Linked DNA regions of Caenorhabditis elegans. The protein of the gene in region 1 purifies or fractionates together with the protein of each later gene. This does not show direct contact. Each region holds a gene or a part of one and is shown on either strand. Other genes may lie near its edges.

The links. Proteins that work in one complex are often made in the same cells at the same time.
Region 2: the proteins of M79.2 (region 1) and pho-11 fractionate together in Caenorhabditis elegans (co-fractionation; one large-scale study listed by BioGRID). This does not show direct contact.

Annotation. Positions count from the first base shown.
Region 1 is NC_003284.9:10,624,454-10,631,767, reverse strand, and holds M79.2 (Phospholipid/glycerol acyltransferase domain-containing protein), read left to right. Parts: upstream 1-2,960; 5' UTR 2,961-2,962; coding exon 2,963-3,048; intron 3,049-3,097; coding exon 3,098-3,209; intron 3,210-3,262; coding exon 3,263-3,316; intron 3,317-3,370; coding exon 3,371-3,492; intron 3,493-3,693; coding exon 3,694-3,781; intron 3,782-3,834; coding exon 3,835-4,066; intron 4,067-4,114; coding exon 4,115-4,337; intron 4,338-4,654; coding exon 4,655-4,761; intron 4,762-4,809; coding exon 4,810-4,927; intron 4,928-4,979; coding exon 4,980-5,163; 3' UTR 5,164-5,250; downstream 5,251-7,314.
Region 2 is NC_003280.10:9,928,691-9,936,178, forward strand, and holds pho-11 (Putative acid phosphatase 11), read left to right. Parts: upstream 1-3,158; 5' UTR 3,159-3,172; coding exon 3,173-3,265; intron 3,266-3,350; coding exon 3,351-3,545; intron 3,546-3,592; coding exon 3,593-3,686; intron 3,687-3,906; coding exon 3,907-3,989; intron 3,990-4,083; coding exon 4,084-4,173; intron 4,174-4,459; coding exon 4,460-4,667; intron 4,668-4,711; coding exon 4,712-4,887; intron 4,888-5,280; coding exon 5,281-5,421; intron 5,422-5,466; coding exon 5,467-5,607; intron 5,608-5,653; coding exon 5,654-5,674; 3' UTR 5,675-5,741; downstream 5,742-7,488. Other genes in the region: C05C10.2 (DNA2/NAM7 helicase-like C-terminal domain-containing protein), read left to right, coding at 1-359, 1,447-1,641, 1,758-1,817; C05C10.3 (putative succinyl-CoA:3-ketoacid coenzyme A transferase, mitochondrial), read right to left, coding at 5,857-6,180, 6,623-6,820, 6,869-7,244, 7,313-7,488.

The DNA.
Region 1 (7,314 bases):
GTTCAAATTTTATTTTAAAGTACACCGTAAATAATATTTTTTTTAAGTTTTGACGATTAATGTTTGAAATGTTCTTGAGTCTTATTACTTGTATGCATAAGCATTACACTATTAACTTTTCCAGTGGCCTATAATATAGTTTTCTTGCAAAACAAGTAGTCTAAGCAAATAGTCTAACGTTACTTAGCAAATTATCAATTTGATATTTTTCATCAAGCGCTAATTTCAACATAGTTAAATTTGAGAGAACTGCAGTAGTGATTTCAAAATATCCGCAGCTTAAATGAGTTATTGTTCAATTTATTTCACGTCTTCAAAATTTGTTCGCAATAACCTTTAAACTCCGTAATCTCTTTCATGATCCATAAAATCTTAACACGTGCGAAACTGATACCAGGTACAGTTGTACTCAAATAACATTCTTGTTAAGCATTTATACTACAGTAGCTAAGAAATAAATTGAAAGTTATAAATTTTTATCAAGGACAAAGATTCATGTCTGTTTTTGCTTCACACTGTTGATTTGTTTCTCGTTCACGTGAATTCTGGACTGATGAACTTTTAACCATTACAATTTTTGAAAAACAATCAGAAGTTTTTTTTTCCAGTTTTTGACTCCACAAAATAGACAAACAAAACAAGCACATGTCAAACAACTGATCCTCATCTTCTGACAGTAATAATAATGATGCTATTTCATCTATACACCAGAGATCAATGTGAGGGAAAAACAACAAACGTACTTGTTCTTGAAAATGGGAATATGTTTAACATGGAATGATTCTTGTAAATTACAAAAGGTGGAATACATTTTTTTAAAACAATTTAACAGAAAAGTTACCTAATTTTCTCTATTAATATTGTTCCCTCTCTTAGGATTCAGTCCTATAAAGCAAGTAACGTCATATAAAATCATGCACTCCCAAGAAATTGGTTTTATCACATTATTTTGAGTTTTTTTTTAAATAAATGATCAAAGTAGAGCTTTATTTATTTTGTTCCTGATAAATCATTTTTTCTCGAATTGAAAAAAAAAAAAATTAATTCAGTTCTCCCAAAAAGATAACAAATTTATTCTATTATTTGTTTGACTAACTATTCCCTCTTGGCAGTTAACTTATCAAGAGTCTCACTTCCTAATCTGTCTAAAATGTGCACTGAGTTGCAAACTTTGACCCAAATAAAATTTGATAGTTCGTGCCGAGCACCTTTTTGAATGATAAGATATGGGTTGCTTTCAATATCAAGAAATTTCCTAGATTTTATGAACAATCAACGCGGCTTTTCCTTTTGTTTAATAATTTTATATGTGCAAAGGTCTTGACCGTGATCTTGCAATTTTTAATTTTTCTTTCAATTTTCACACAATCACGTCTGCTTTGTTTTCAAATTAAACCTACAATAGCAAAATATAGAAATTTTGAACTAGATTTTGATAATAAAACTTTGAACCCAACCTTACAAGGACGACATTAGTAATCACGTGACAAAACTGGTATTTTGACACTCTGAAAATGTTGACATCATAAAAAGGTCAGGTGACTCACTCATCTCCTTGGATCTTTACTGGGTCAGATTGTCTGTCTTGATAGAAAAATAAACGTTTTACCCTTCATTGTTCATGTTTGTAAATAGTATTTTCATTTTCTCTTTTCAGTTGTTCTTAGCGATAAGAAAGTGCTATAAATGTAAATATTTTTTATTTTTGCGGAAACTTTCTATTTGTGAATATTTAATCCTGTATACACTTTTAAAACTGTTCTAGAGGTTTGTTTCATTCAAATGTCTTGTTTCATCAATATGATCTGAAAATTTAACCGATCTTTGCATTACTGATTGTAAATTTTAGAGATTGCTGCATTGAACATCTTTCAGATAAAGAACAGATTGTATTTAAAACGATATTTTTTAAATATATTTTGGACTTTGAAAATCGCTGTACAGTTAAAATATATTGCTAGATGTCAAGAAGATGCCAAAATCTTGAGCATTTCCTATAGAAAGAATTTTTTGAAATTTTTTTCTAAGAAAACATGTTTCAGTTTATGTTTCATCATAGTCTGATAGTCGAAATATGACGTCTTTTTTTGAGAAATTGTTCTCTCACAACATTATGAACTTTGTACACACAATTCAGCATAAACTTTTCTGCTTTAGAATTAACTGTTTCTCCACATTATTCCAATTTATAATTATTTGACTATTGAAATTTTATGAAGCATACATTCTCCGACTTGAATTCATAATTGTGCCAATTCAAAGCTCCGAAAAACGATTCCTTTTACATTCTCCGCCTCCCATTTGGTCTCTCCATCTTCTGTGCTGGGAAGAAGAGACCACCATCATACGTTATCTCAGATGACCCTCTTATTTTCTCAGAGAGAGAGAGAGAGAGAGAGAGTGTAATGGGGAGGTGAACCTGGTACGACCGGCTCATGCGGACCACGACTAACCTACAAAGTGCTCTCTTCATATGTAATTTATTAGCGACAACTGATGTTAAGTTTGCAAGTTTTCTCTTCTTTTCTTCATTTTCTTTTGTTGCGTTCTAGTTTGAATCATAAAATGTGATTTTGGTCTCCCAATGACAATTTATTATTGTTAGTTTTGATCTTCAGTTTAAAAATAGTGGTTATCAATCATTATTGATAGACCAACTGTCAAATGACCATTAGATCTCAAGTGCCCGCCCTCAATACTTTTTCATTGAAATTTTTAAGTTTTCCTCGCCTTCAACCTTTTATGAACAGCCATTTTTTGAATCATTTTCATGAATAAATGTGTATTCATGTGGTTTTTGTGGTTTATTTGAGACAGGGTCAACAGTTCAGTGACTCTGTCTGGTTAAACAAACTTTGTTTCTTTCCACTTGCCTCCTTCGTTTTTTTTCTTTTTATAAAATGTTTATATTGATTTTCTTGGTTTCTAAATCACATTTTCATCTCATAATTTAATTTCAGATATGTTACTTTCAATATTTTACTTTTATGGCAGTTGTATAACACTGACCTACTTCTCAACAGTCGTCCTTATTTTCTTTGGTCTGAGGTATGTCGTAGACGCACTTGACGTTGTGTAAAATCAAACATGTTATCAGCTGGGGAGTGCTTCCACAATGGTATCTTCACGTGGTTGCAATGATTCAAGGATATTTCCCACGAGAAAAACTTGAAAACACATATGAGAATGAAGAGAGTGAAGAACAAAGGGTAAGTGAAGTCGACATTTGGATCTTCCGGTGACTCATGTTTTGACTTTTCAGAGTGAAAAATCGGCAGATCAAATTGCTGAAGAACGAGTGAAGAGGATAATTGATGTGGGTTAACATTGAGTTTATAATCTATTGGTTAATTGTTTGGACTAATTACAGACTGATCTTGGACCATGCTTTCAAACAGCTCCTACGATACGGCCTACTCTATTAGGCATGATGCCTGAGAAGAATTGGAATTCAACAGAGAAGGCAATTTTCTTTGCCGGATTAATTTTTAGGTGAGAACTTGTTTCCAGTTTTAAAGTTATGTTTTGTAAAACTGAATACAAATTTTATATTTAAAAAAATAGAACGCAATTCGCAAATCAAAATTTTTCTAATTTTCTTACGTTAACGCAGTAAATGTTGAAACAAAATTTAATCTGCATATTATTTAATTCAAATATATTATTCAACATTAAATTTTATAATGGTTTCAGAATATTTTTCCTTATGCCTGTGCGAGTTTGTCTACTCCTCACATCATTTGTTTTTGTTGCACTTGCTGGACTTCAAACCGCATTCCGAGTAAGTTTCATCATTTATAGAACAATTACTGTACATCAAACTTGAAACTCCAGACACTATCGGATCGTGAAAAAACATGGGTTGCTATCGTATACTGTCGATTGTTTTGTGGTAGTATGGGACTAGTTGCCAACTACAGAAACCCACAATTCAGACCCAAGAAACCAGGAGTTGCAGTTTCGAATCATTTAACCCCAAATGATATTCAAATTTTATGGGCTGGAACACCACACGGAAGCTCATATGGATACGTTGTCACTGGCCAAAAACACAAAGGAATCATTGGTATTTATTGTTATTTACGTGTTGTTTGTTAACTTTTTGTGTACTTAGGAATCATTGAACATTTGGTTGAGAAACTATGCCCATCACTTTGGTTGGAAAGAAAATGCAGTAATGAGAGACAGGGATTTCTGGCTGAAGTTATGAAAATTGCTAAACGAGAAGGACCAGTGTTACTATTTCCGGAAGGATATTGTTCAAACAACAGCAAGGTGCTGCAATTCAGAAAAGCTATTTTTGAAGAAAATGTCAATATCTATCCAGTTGCAATTAAGTGAGTATTTTTCAGTATTTTACCTCGGAAAACTGAAAGCTGACAGTTCAAATTGACTTAACTGTTTTTTAATCTAACAAAAATTTAAAAAAAAAGTTCTAAGAATAATTGTATTTTTTTGTGCAGATATGTGAAGATATCAGTTTAATTTTTTTAAGTCAAAATTTTTTATTCTCTGACAGTTAGTAGCAATTTCTCCTAGATTACCTTTTTTTTTTAAGTTTTCTGAAAGTAAAAGGTAACGAGTCTCAAAGTTATTAGCTGTTTGGTTAATACAATTTTCAACATTTTTTTTGTAATAACCACTATTTTTTAAGGCAATCCCCAGAGTTTGGAGATGGCTTTTGGTATGAAGACGAATTTTTCCAATACTTAGTTCGAATTATGCTTAACTGGGCAGTTGTCTATGACATTCAATATCTTCGTGAGTTTTTGATGTATTTTATGTAAAATTCCTTTAAAAAAATTTTAGCTATGGAAGTACGAAAAGAACATGAAAATAATTCTCTGTTTGCTGCTAGAATTCAGCAAGTCATTGCGAATGCAGCCGGAATTCCATCATGTGAATATGGAGGAAGTCTCTGGTATAAGTGAGTGAGCCCATCAAGAAAAACAAATAATTCAAACGGAGTCTCATTCCAGACAAGAAGAAAGGAATAAACTGAAGGAAACCCTCAAAACTCAGCATGATATTTCTGGAAGCAGAAATAATAGTGATAGTGGGATATCTGGTGGAGGAGGAAGCAGTGATAATTTGAGCATCGACGATTTCGAATCTGTTTCGGAGAACCAGTGTGAGGAAAATGTGATACCGGCTATGAACTGAATTTGTACATTGTAATTTTTGTTATTAAATCATATTGAAAATTAAAACAACAACCAAAACGTGTCTTCATAATAAAAACTTTAAAATACTTTTCGAAAATATTTTTTATCAACTCGAAAAAAACTGCGTTTTGCTATTCGGCCCTACACAAAAAAATACTGATGAAAATGAACTATACAAAAATAGAAAAAATAACACACAGATGTGCGTCTCAAAAATTAATTTTAAATAAAAACTTTCAAAAAGTTTTCAAAAATTAAAATATCGGTAATTTCACTCTTTTTCAATTAAAAAAAACATTGTAACTGGAAAACAGAATTTAAATGAGAGGCGACGTTTTTGGGTTTTATAATAAAAAAAATTAAGGTATATGTGTATGCAATTTTAAAAAACCAATAAATTCACTAGATATGTACTACGTCGTTCTTTTCAATCCTGACTTTGTTAGGAATCTCCTTTCCAGAAGTTGTTTCGAATGAACGCAATGGCAAAAATGGAAGGAAAAAAGGAATAATTCGTCCTTTGCATCGACATCTTGTTGTGTTCTTTTTTGTCCCTCTTCATTCTATTGGCGTGTTCGGGATATTATCCTCTCCTCGCCAACCAGCAGCTACTACCAACTTTTTTGTCGATGTTCGTCTTCTCTTGTGTTTTTGTGTGTTCCCATTTAGTTTCAGTTTTTGTTCTGCGCATTTCACAAAACTTTACTATTTTCAAAGTTCTTCGACACGCAAAAAACTCTACAAAAGTTTACTTTCAACTTTTTTTCGTATTTGGATTTATTTTAGCTATTTTTTTTAACGACTGGTTTAAATAAAAATAGGATGGGAGAAATTTTAGTAGACTTAATATGTAAATGTGAAAGAATTTTAGTAGACTTAATATGTAAATGTGTAATTTCCAACAATTAAACGAGGAGAAAAGACGAAAAATAAAAAAAATTATCGAAAATAGAACACTTTGTCACCATCAAAATCACTAACACTAGCAAAATAGCACAGTTTCATAGTCATATTACATATGCATGTTATAACAACAAACCTATTTTCATCTTTTGAAAACCCTACACACAATTCCACTTTTTTATGGAGAAATACAACCACATATAATCTTTTGATTTCAAAAAGTTATTTGTAATTGCCAAGCATTCATTACTTGGAGATCACGTTTTCCAAAACATCTTCGTCAGCAATTATTAAAACTTGGGAGTTTTTTTAAAGAATTATTGTATGCATTAGAGTGCGTTCTTATTGAGTGTTTCAAGTATGGAATTTGTTCTCAATTAACAAATTATTCTTAAACACACAATTTAAAATTAGTGCTTCATGTACAATTATATAGTCCGTGAAACAATGCAAATCTCCAAAAATTTTTAAACTTATTTAAAACTTGATAGGTACTTTTCAGCATATTTTAGTCTAAGGAGCCCTTTTATTGTTTTCAAAATAGTAGGACAGCAATTTTCTAATGAGTTAGAATTCACTCAACCAACCCTCAGAGGCATACCGTACTGTTTCTTCAAAATTTTGATTCTTTTAGTTTTGATTTCCATTTAAAAAATGCGTCAATCTGAATACTACCTATTGTTCAACTTTTCTATTTCAAACTGCATTCCCATACTCTTTCGTCGCTCCAATTTTTATGGGACAAAATTGGCGGGGGTTTTGAGTACCTCCTGGCCTCTCGTCCCATTCTTTGTGATCACACTTTTTGTTTCATTTCACACTTCATCCCCACACTTTCAACCGATACGAATTCGTATCGCAGATTTGTATAAAACATAGCGAAAAAGGAACGGCGACAAGTTTTGATTGGTTTTACAATGCAAAACTTTTTTGTTTATTAATATGTATGGTCTTGTCAATAATTGTTAGATTTTAGATTTGTAATTGACAATTTGTTAATTGGTTTAAAACTATGGTTTTTGCGAATACACAAATATCCGAATAGCATAACTTTTTTTTAATTATTAAATCACCACAATTTTGTAAAACAACTAAAAACTAATTATATCCAGTTTAAACATTATCCATTCATTTCGTATGCATATAAGTTCAATCAGTTCAAAGTATTTGTAGTCTCTACTCCGCGTTTCCAATCTCCTCTAGCTTAGTACTATTTATCTGACAGGAACTGTTGTTATTGTTTGAC
Region 2 (7,488 bases), on another chromosome or scaffold:
TTGGAGAAATAGTACAAAATCTTATCAATGATCCTCGCAACCCAGTCAATCCAAGTGACATTGGAGTGATCTCATTCTACAGTGCTCAAACTTCGATTCTCACTGAGCATCTACGTGGAAGCGGTGTCAAGTGCGGTACGGTCGACGCGTTCCAAGGATCTGAAAAGGAGATCATCATCATGTGCAGCACGAACGAACGGATCTCGGACTTTATGCAGCTAAGTAATCGCTTGAACGTTGCAATGTCCCGTGCGAAGCAGGTCACAATCATTATTGGTCATTTGGATGGATTGAGAAGAGCCAATTATTGGAGCACAATTGTGAACAAAATTGAGCAAAATGGGAATTTGGTTAATGCAGTAAGTTTTTTATTTTTAAATTTTAATTTGGACTCAGTTTGAAATACTAAGTTCCGTTCAATATTGGTTATTGTTTTTAATTATTAGGTCTCCAAATAAGTTCCGGGTCAAAAATCATAACTTTGTTCGCTGCGAATCGATTTTTATGAAATTGTGGGAATTTATGTTATCAACCATGGTCTTTCATTTGACAATAGTCACAAAATTTTTTGGCCGTCCGAAGTGCCCGTACTCGGAGCCAATTTTTTCAGGCATTTTTCAGATCTCGCTTCTTTTCAGGTTTCAACTGAGGTTTGTGTGCGGATATTGCTTAGTTTAGTACACAATGTAAGAAAACAAGAAAAGTTTGAAAAAGAATCCGTCCAAAAAAAAATTTTTTGTCGTTCGTCAAAAAAATTTTGTCGAAAATTCTTGATTTTTCATACAAAAATGACGTAACCATGTGCAAACTATTTTTACACATACAAAAAAAATTCAATTTAGTGCGTCACACTAAAAAATAACAAAAAACACAGCTCTTTCGAACTATTTTCGAGTTTTTGGAGTATTTCTCGAGATCCAAATTTCATACTCAAATGTTTTGTATGTGTAAAAATAGTTTGCACATGGTTACATCATTTTTGTATAAAAATTCAAGAATTTTCGACAAAAATTTTTTTGTAGATTTTTTGACGAGCGACAAAAAAAATTTTTTTGGACGGATTTTTTTTTCAAACTTTTCTTGTTTTCTTACATTGTGTACTAAATTAAGCAATATCCGCACACAAACCTCAGTTGAAACCTGAAAAGAAGCAAGATCTGAAAAATGCCTGAAAAAATTGGCTCCGAGTACGGGCACTTCGGACGGCCAAAAAATTTTGTGACTATTGTCAAATGAAAGATCATGGTTGATAACATAAATTCCCACAATTTCAGAAAAATCGATTCGCAGCAAACAAAGTTATGTTTTTTGACCCGGAACTTACTTGGAGACCTAATAGTTTGATAGTGTTTTGAAGGGCTTGCGGAGCTTGTATAACTTAGTAGATCAAACTGAGACTACGCCTCACTAATATTATTTTTATGAATTACTGAAATTTGCTTTCAGAATGACTGGTATCAAAATCAACGAAGAAATAAGGTATCATTGTCATCGTATCCACTAATTTCAACATCACGACAATCGAAACAACAACGTGCCAATGAATATAATTCACAACACAAACACGTTAAAAGACAAAGTAACAATGATTACGGTAGCCAACGGAGCGTGACTAACTCATTGAATCCAGAATTTGTTGGGGTAAGCAGGGCATTCATTATTTGCCATTTTTTAATGTTTAAAAGTTTATATCATCGCAGTAAAAGTAACTTTTACATACTGTAATCCAAACATTGACTGATCTAATCCGATAATAGTTTCAGAAATGGGATGACGAGACGTATGGAGATTGGCCCACCATCCAGAAATCAACATAAATATCCAATTTTAGTCTTCTACTAGTTGTTTTTACCGTTTGTATTCATATCAAATTTTCATGATGATCTTTTGTTTCCATCTCCAAGCTTTCACTTTTTGGTTGTTTTAATTTTTTTTTTCTGTTGAAATTGAGTGTTTTTTTTCTGTTGAAATTGAGTGTTCCATTTTTATATGAAATGGATTTTGTCTGTCTTGGAAATTCTTTTGAAGACATTGAATCACAGAAGAATGTTTAAACATTTTCAGAAATTGTACGGAAAAAGTTGGGACCAAGAGAATTATGGTAAAATAAAACTTGTAATATGTATTACAATTTAGAAATAAAAAACTATAAATTTTCAAAGTTGGTTTTAAGTGCGTACAATATAATAGCCATTAAAAAGATATAGAGTAACCATGAAGAAAAATTCAACTAATACCTTTATTTTTCTAATTGAGAACTAACAGTTCAAATCCTTTAATGGATACTTTACAAATTAACTGTTGTTTTTGTTGGTAGGACTATTCACGAACGAACTAAAAAACGCATTAAATGGCTCTGCCAACTTTAGTCAAATTTTTTAACAGATTAATGCTTTTTGCAAACTCTCGCTATGCATTGGCGGTGAGAGACGCAGATAATACTTTTTTCTCTGGACGTGAAAAACACAAAGGATAACCGTTTTGCCATCTGCGTCTCTTCTTTCACACGCTATTTTGGCGGTGGACGAGGAATTCTCCTCTTCCAGGATTTTCAAGGCCATTTGCTCACATTTCTCAAGTTTTCTTGTCCGCGAGAAAACATGAATTTTGAGGCAGCCAGCGAGCACGTGCCAAAAATTTTTGGTAAACTTCGCCCTGTGCCAAGACCTAATCAGGATGTGCCTAACGCCTGCCCAAGATCTGGAAAACGCAAAAAAATATATCTGGAAAAAATACTAAAAACTAAAAACATGAATAGTTCTGACAGAGACTGTTTCATGAATTTTGCAACATTCGATAAATGGTACTTTCAAAAGTGCTCAAAGATCACGGCCATGGTCACAAACTTTTAGATAGCATATATTTCGACTTTAGACCAGAATTGATAAAATATCCATTCGATAAGAAAAAATGTTGCAGACCTAGTTTGTTTACATATTCTTTCACACCAATTTTATGAGTTCAGTCTATCATCACTCTGAAAAGTACATGGCTTTATCATGTAATCACGAGAAAATCGAAACGCGGGATAGTTATATCTATTAAACTGACCATATTTTTATTCATTTTCTATCTGAAGATATGATTTTGAAACAATTTTTATGGTTTTTTTAACGAGCTCAACTCTTTAAATAGGTTGTTCTGATATAGGAACATTTGTAGATCAAAAATTATGATGATCTCAATTTTCAGTCTGTTGGCTTCAACAGCCATTTTGGTATTTGCTAATGGGCAGAGCAATGTCAAATTGGAGTTTGTTCAAGCGGTAAGTTATATGAAATCCTAAATGCCAAATTTAGTCCTCAGTGAAAGTTACTTGGGTAGTACAATTTATTTTTAATTATTTCAAGATGTGGAGACACGGAGAACGTGCATCTCAAGTTGATCAATACCCAATTTACGAAAAAGATTGGATTTATGGAGGAGGTGGTCTCGGAGAGCTGACTGCAATTGGAATGGGAGAAATGAACGAACTTGGATGGCTTATTCGTAAAAGATATGTTACTAAATTGAAGTTTTTGACACCAAAGTATGCGTCCAGAGAGGTATACCCTAAAAATGTTAGAACGTGCCAAAATATGATTATTTCCAGGTATATTTTAGATCAACTAATTTCAATCGTACCATTATTTCGGCACAATCACTTTTGTACGGGCTGTTTCCACCAAGCTTGTATGATGTCAAAAGTAGGTTGTCAAAAAATTGATTAAATTTTTTATGCCAAACGGTTCAAACTTAAAGCCAATATGACTTTTTCTGTTGAACGAATAGATAAATTTAGTCCAGTGATATCTTTACTTTTTAATTTTTCATATTGAAATTGTCTGCACGTCTCTTATAAAATTAGCAAAAATCCAACTATTATATTACCTCTAATGCATTAGTTTTGATGATTACCATATTCAGACGTTGACTATCCATACTCCCCACTCACTTGGTTCCCTGGATTCACGTTTGTTCCAGTTCACGTCGATGGTCCGGATCAGTGTGTATGTTGTAAATTTACATTGGTTCTCGAGTAGTCTTAAATAATCTTACTGCGCGTGCCAGTTAAAATTACAAAATTATTACAAACCTTTCCAGGCCGCTAGTCAGAACTGTCCATGCACAAGATACGATCTTCTCCAAGGGCAGATGTTGACTCTTCCGGAAGTTTTGCCAAAGTATACGCAGGTAAGGTTTGATTGAATTATACTATCATCGGTAACCGTATTCACGTTGTGATGGCTTTGTCGGTAACTATGAACAGGCGCCTAAAATGCCTGCCTTCCGCCTAGACGCTTGCCTACTAGTAGACCTACTGTCAAGTTTTTCGTGAACGATTGTTCATTTATCATTCGATCAAATGCGTAAAGCTACAATATGTGAATCTCAAATATTGTAGTTTAAATCCTGACTGCCTGAATGTAGAAAATAGACGGTAGGCAGGCACGTGCCTCCTCTGAATTTCAATTTTTAGGTGGTCCTACTTAACCGTCGTGTCGGTGGATATTACAACATGACATCTGGCCTAGACTCCTTCACAACATACCCAGATACGTGGAAATGCCAGAGAGCATATTTCAACAGAACTATGTACGCGAAGCTTCCATGGTACAATGAAGAACTCTACTATCAAGCCCAAGTTACATATGCTCCGGTTAAGGGATTTTTAGAGGGAAATTTTGGTTAGTTGGGACGAGATTAAAGTCTCAGTGAAGCTTGGTTTCAGAGAATCCTGCTGTCACTTCTTCCGGGCTCGATGTGGGTCTTGAAATCAAAAAAGTTCGATCCGGAGTTATTATCAATGAAGTTTTCAATCGTGCCAATGAAAAATTGAATTGTGCAGAGCTGGGACAAAACTGCACTAGCTATTTGAATAAGCTGAAATTCTATGGATATTCTATTGTAAGAGATTTTAAAGTTTACTCCATAATTTAAGTTCAAAAATGCATGATATCTAGCCACGATCTTACCGTAGTTGGGAATACGGTAGACTACGGTAGTATTACTGTACTTGACTGGAAGTTAAGTATACCATCATAGTAGGTAGGAATCTGTTCATCCCTAGCTACCTCTGCCTACCTCATGCCGAGGCACCAGTCAAGGCTTGTCGGAATGTAGGCAAGCATTGTAGGTAACTCTAAGAAATTGAAATATAAAAAAAAAGAAAAGAAAAGCTAGTTACTTTTCATGCGAATTTTTTCAGGATTTTCAGAAAAAAAAATTTTGACAAAAAAAATGTTTTTTTTAATTTTTGAAATCAATTTTCCAAGATCTCACAACAAATTCGTTTTCCAGCATGACAACAATGTGTACGGTGTCCTGGTTGCTCTTGGTATTCCACAAATCGCTAACACACTTGACGGATGGCCAGCATACGCAGCTGGAATATTTATGGAATTCCACAGAAACACGTCAACAAACGAGAGATTCTTCAAGGTATTCCAGAGAGAAACCAGAAAATTCGAACAATTAAATTTTCAGGTTCTGTACCGTGAAGGAGATGACACTCCGATTTCTGATGTGACAAGTCAACTTCCAATTTGTAATGGAGCCACCTTGTGTCCACTTGGAGCTCTTCAGACTTTGGCCGAGACACTGAAGCCACTTCCAGATATTACTACTGTAAGCTCTTGTTTCCAAAAATTTCGACTTTATAAAAAATTTTCAGCTCTGCAAAACTCCTCTATGAATTACTGGAACTGTAATTTTTGTTGTAACTCAATTTTTATATTTTTTTATGAACTATTTCATTAAAACTCTTTTTGTTCACACAATCCTAAACCGGTATTATAGGCAAAAGACAAAAAAGTAACAAACAACGGACTAAAGAAGTATTTACACATTTCACGGAAATTTGTCAAAATTGACAAATTATCCTTGATTAAGAGGAGCCTGTCCCATTGGCTTCAGATTTTCGGAAATTTCGAATTTGCAAGCGGTGAGTTTCTTGATATCATCTACAGTAAGATCCTTCCTGACTTCGATCAATGTCAATCCGTTCTTTGTGTCCACGTCGAAAACTGCCATATCAGTAATGATTCGGGAAATTACTCCTTTGCCGGTCAGAGGAAGTTCGCAGTGCTCTAGAATTTTTGGCTCTCCGTTCTTCGATACATGCTCCATTACAACGATCACACGGGCTCCGGGAGCAGAGACAAGATCCATTGCACCGCCCATTCCTTTCACCAATTTTCCCTGGAAAATTTTAGAAATTTATTAAGATGGAAGATTAAGCGGAAAAGTATATTTTTATGAAGTTGTCTAAATTTTTTGTTTTTGGGGGTTTTTCGTTTTTTTTTTAAAGTTTTTTCGGACCAACAAAATAAATTCAGATATATATTTAAGAAATAAAATCAAGATTTTTTGGAGTTTTGTAGAATTAATATTTTTAATCAAAAAATTATTTTTATTGAGACTAGATCTGGCCAAAATTGTTCGGTTAATAATTTTCGATCAGTCTATGTGCTGCGTGCATTTTATTTAATTTGAGTTGCTTATCTTTTTTAGTTGAAACTTCGAGCGTTTTTAGACATCACTGATAAATAATTTCAGATCACTGATCATATTTATCTTATCACTCGGTCGATTAAAACACAAAGAACGAATTATCAGTGATCTATTTTTTCTCAAAGCTCACCGGAATCATCCAATTCGCTAAATCTCCAAACTGTGAGCACTGAAGTGCACCGAGCACAGTAATATCCATATGAGAACCACGAATCATTGCGAATGATTCATCAGAACCAACAATTGAAGCTCCTTTGAGAAGAGTAATTGGCTCTTTTCCAGCATTAATGAGATCGGCGTCTTCTGTTCCTTTTCTTGGATATGGTCCCTGAAAAACAAAAATGAAAATAAAAATAATTAATTTAAATTTCCTTACCACTCCAATAATACCATTCTCACTTTGCAAATGAACAGTAAATCCATTTGGTATATAATTTGGCGCCAAAGTCGGAATCCCGATACCCAAATTGGCGTACATTCCATCTGTGAACTCCAAAGCTGCACGTGCTGCAATGATTTCTCTCGATTTTCCAGCAGCCGATGTAGATGGTTTTATTGGTCCTTCGTGTGCGAACATTGGCCGTTCGATTGGTTTTTTGTAGTTCTTTCCCAAAACTAGACGATGACAATAGATTGATGGAATGTGCACATCGTTTGGAGCAATTACTCCCGGTTCGACGATTTCCTCTACTTCGACGATGGTGCATTTAGAGGCTTTGCACATTGGATTATTGAAATTTCCAGCAGCATGTCTGAAATTTTGATTTTTGTTGTTGTTGTAATTTTTCAAAAATGATTTTTTAATTTTTTTAATTCTTACCTGAATTGAATATTTCCAAGAGTATCTGCTCTCCACGCCTTGATCAATGCAAAATCTCCCCAAATAGCCTCTTCCATTACATAATTAATTCCATTGAATTGTCGTGTTTCTTTCGCTTTACTTGCAACTTCAATCTTTCCTTTTTCAGTTTTACTGTACTTAATCGGAGCACCTCC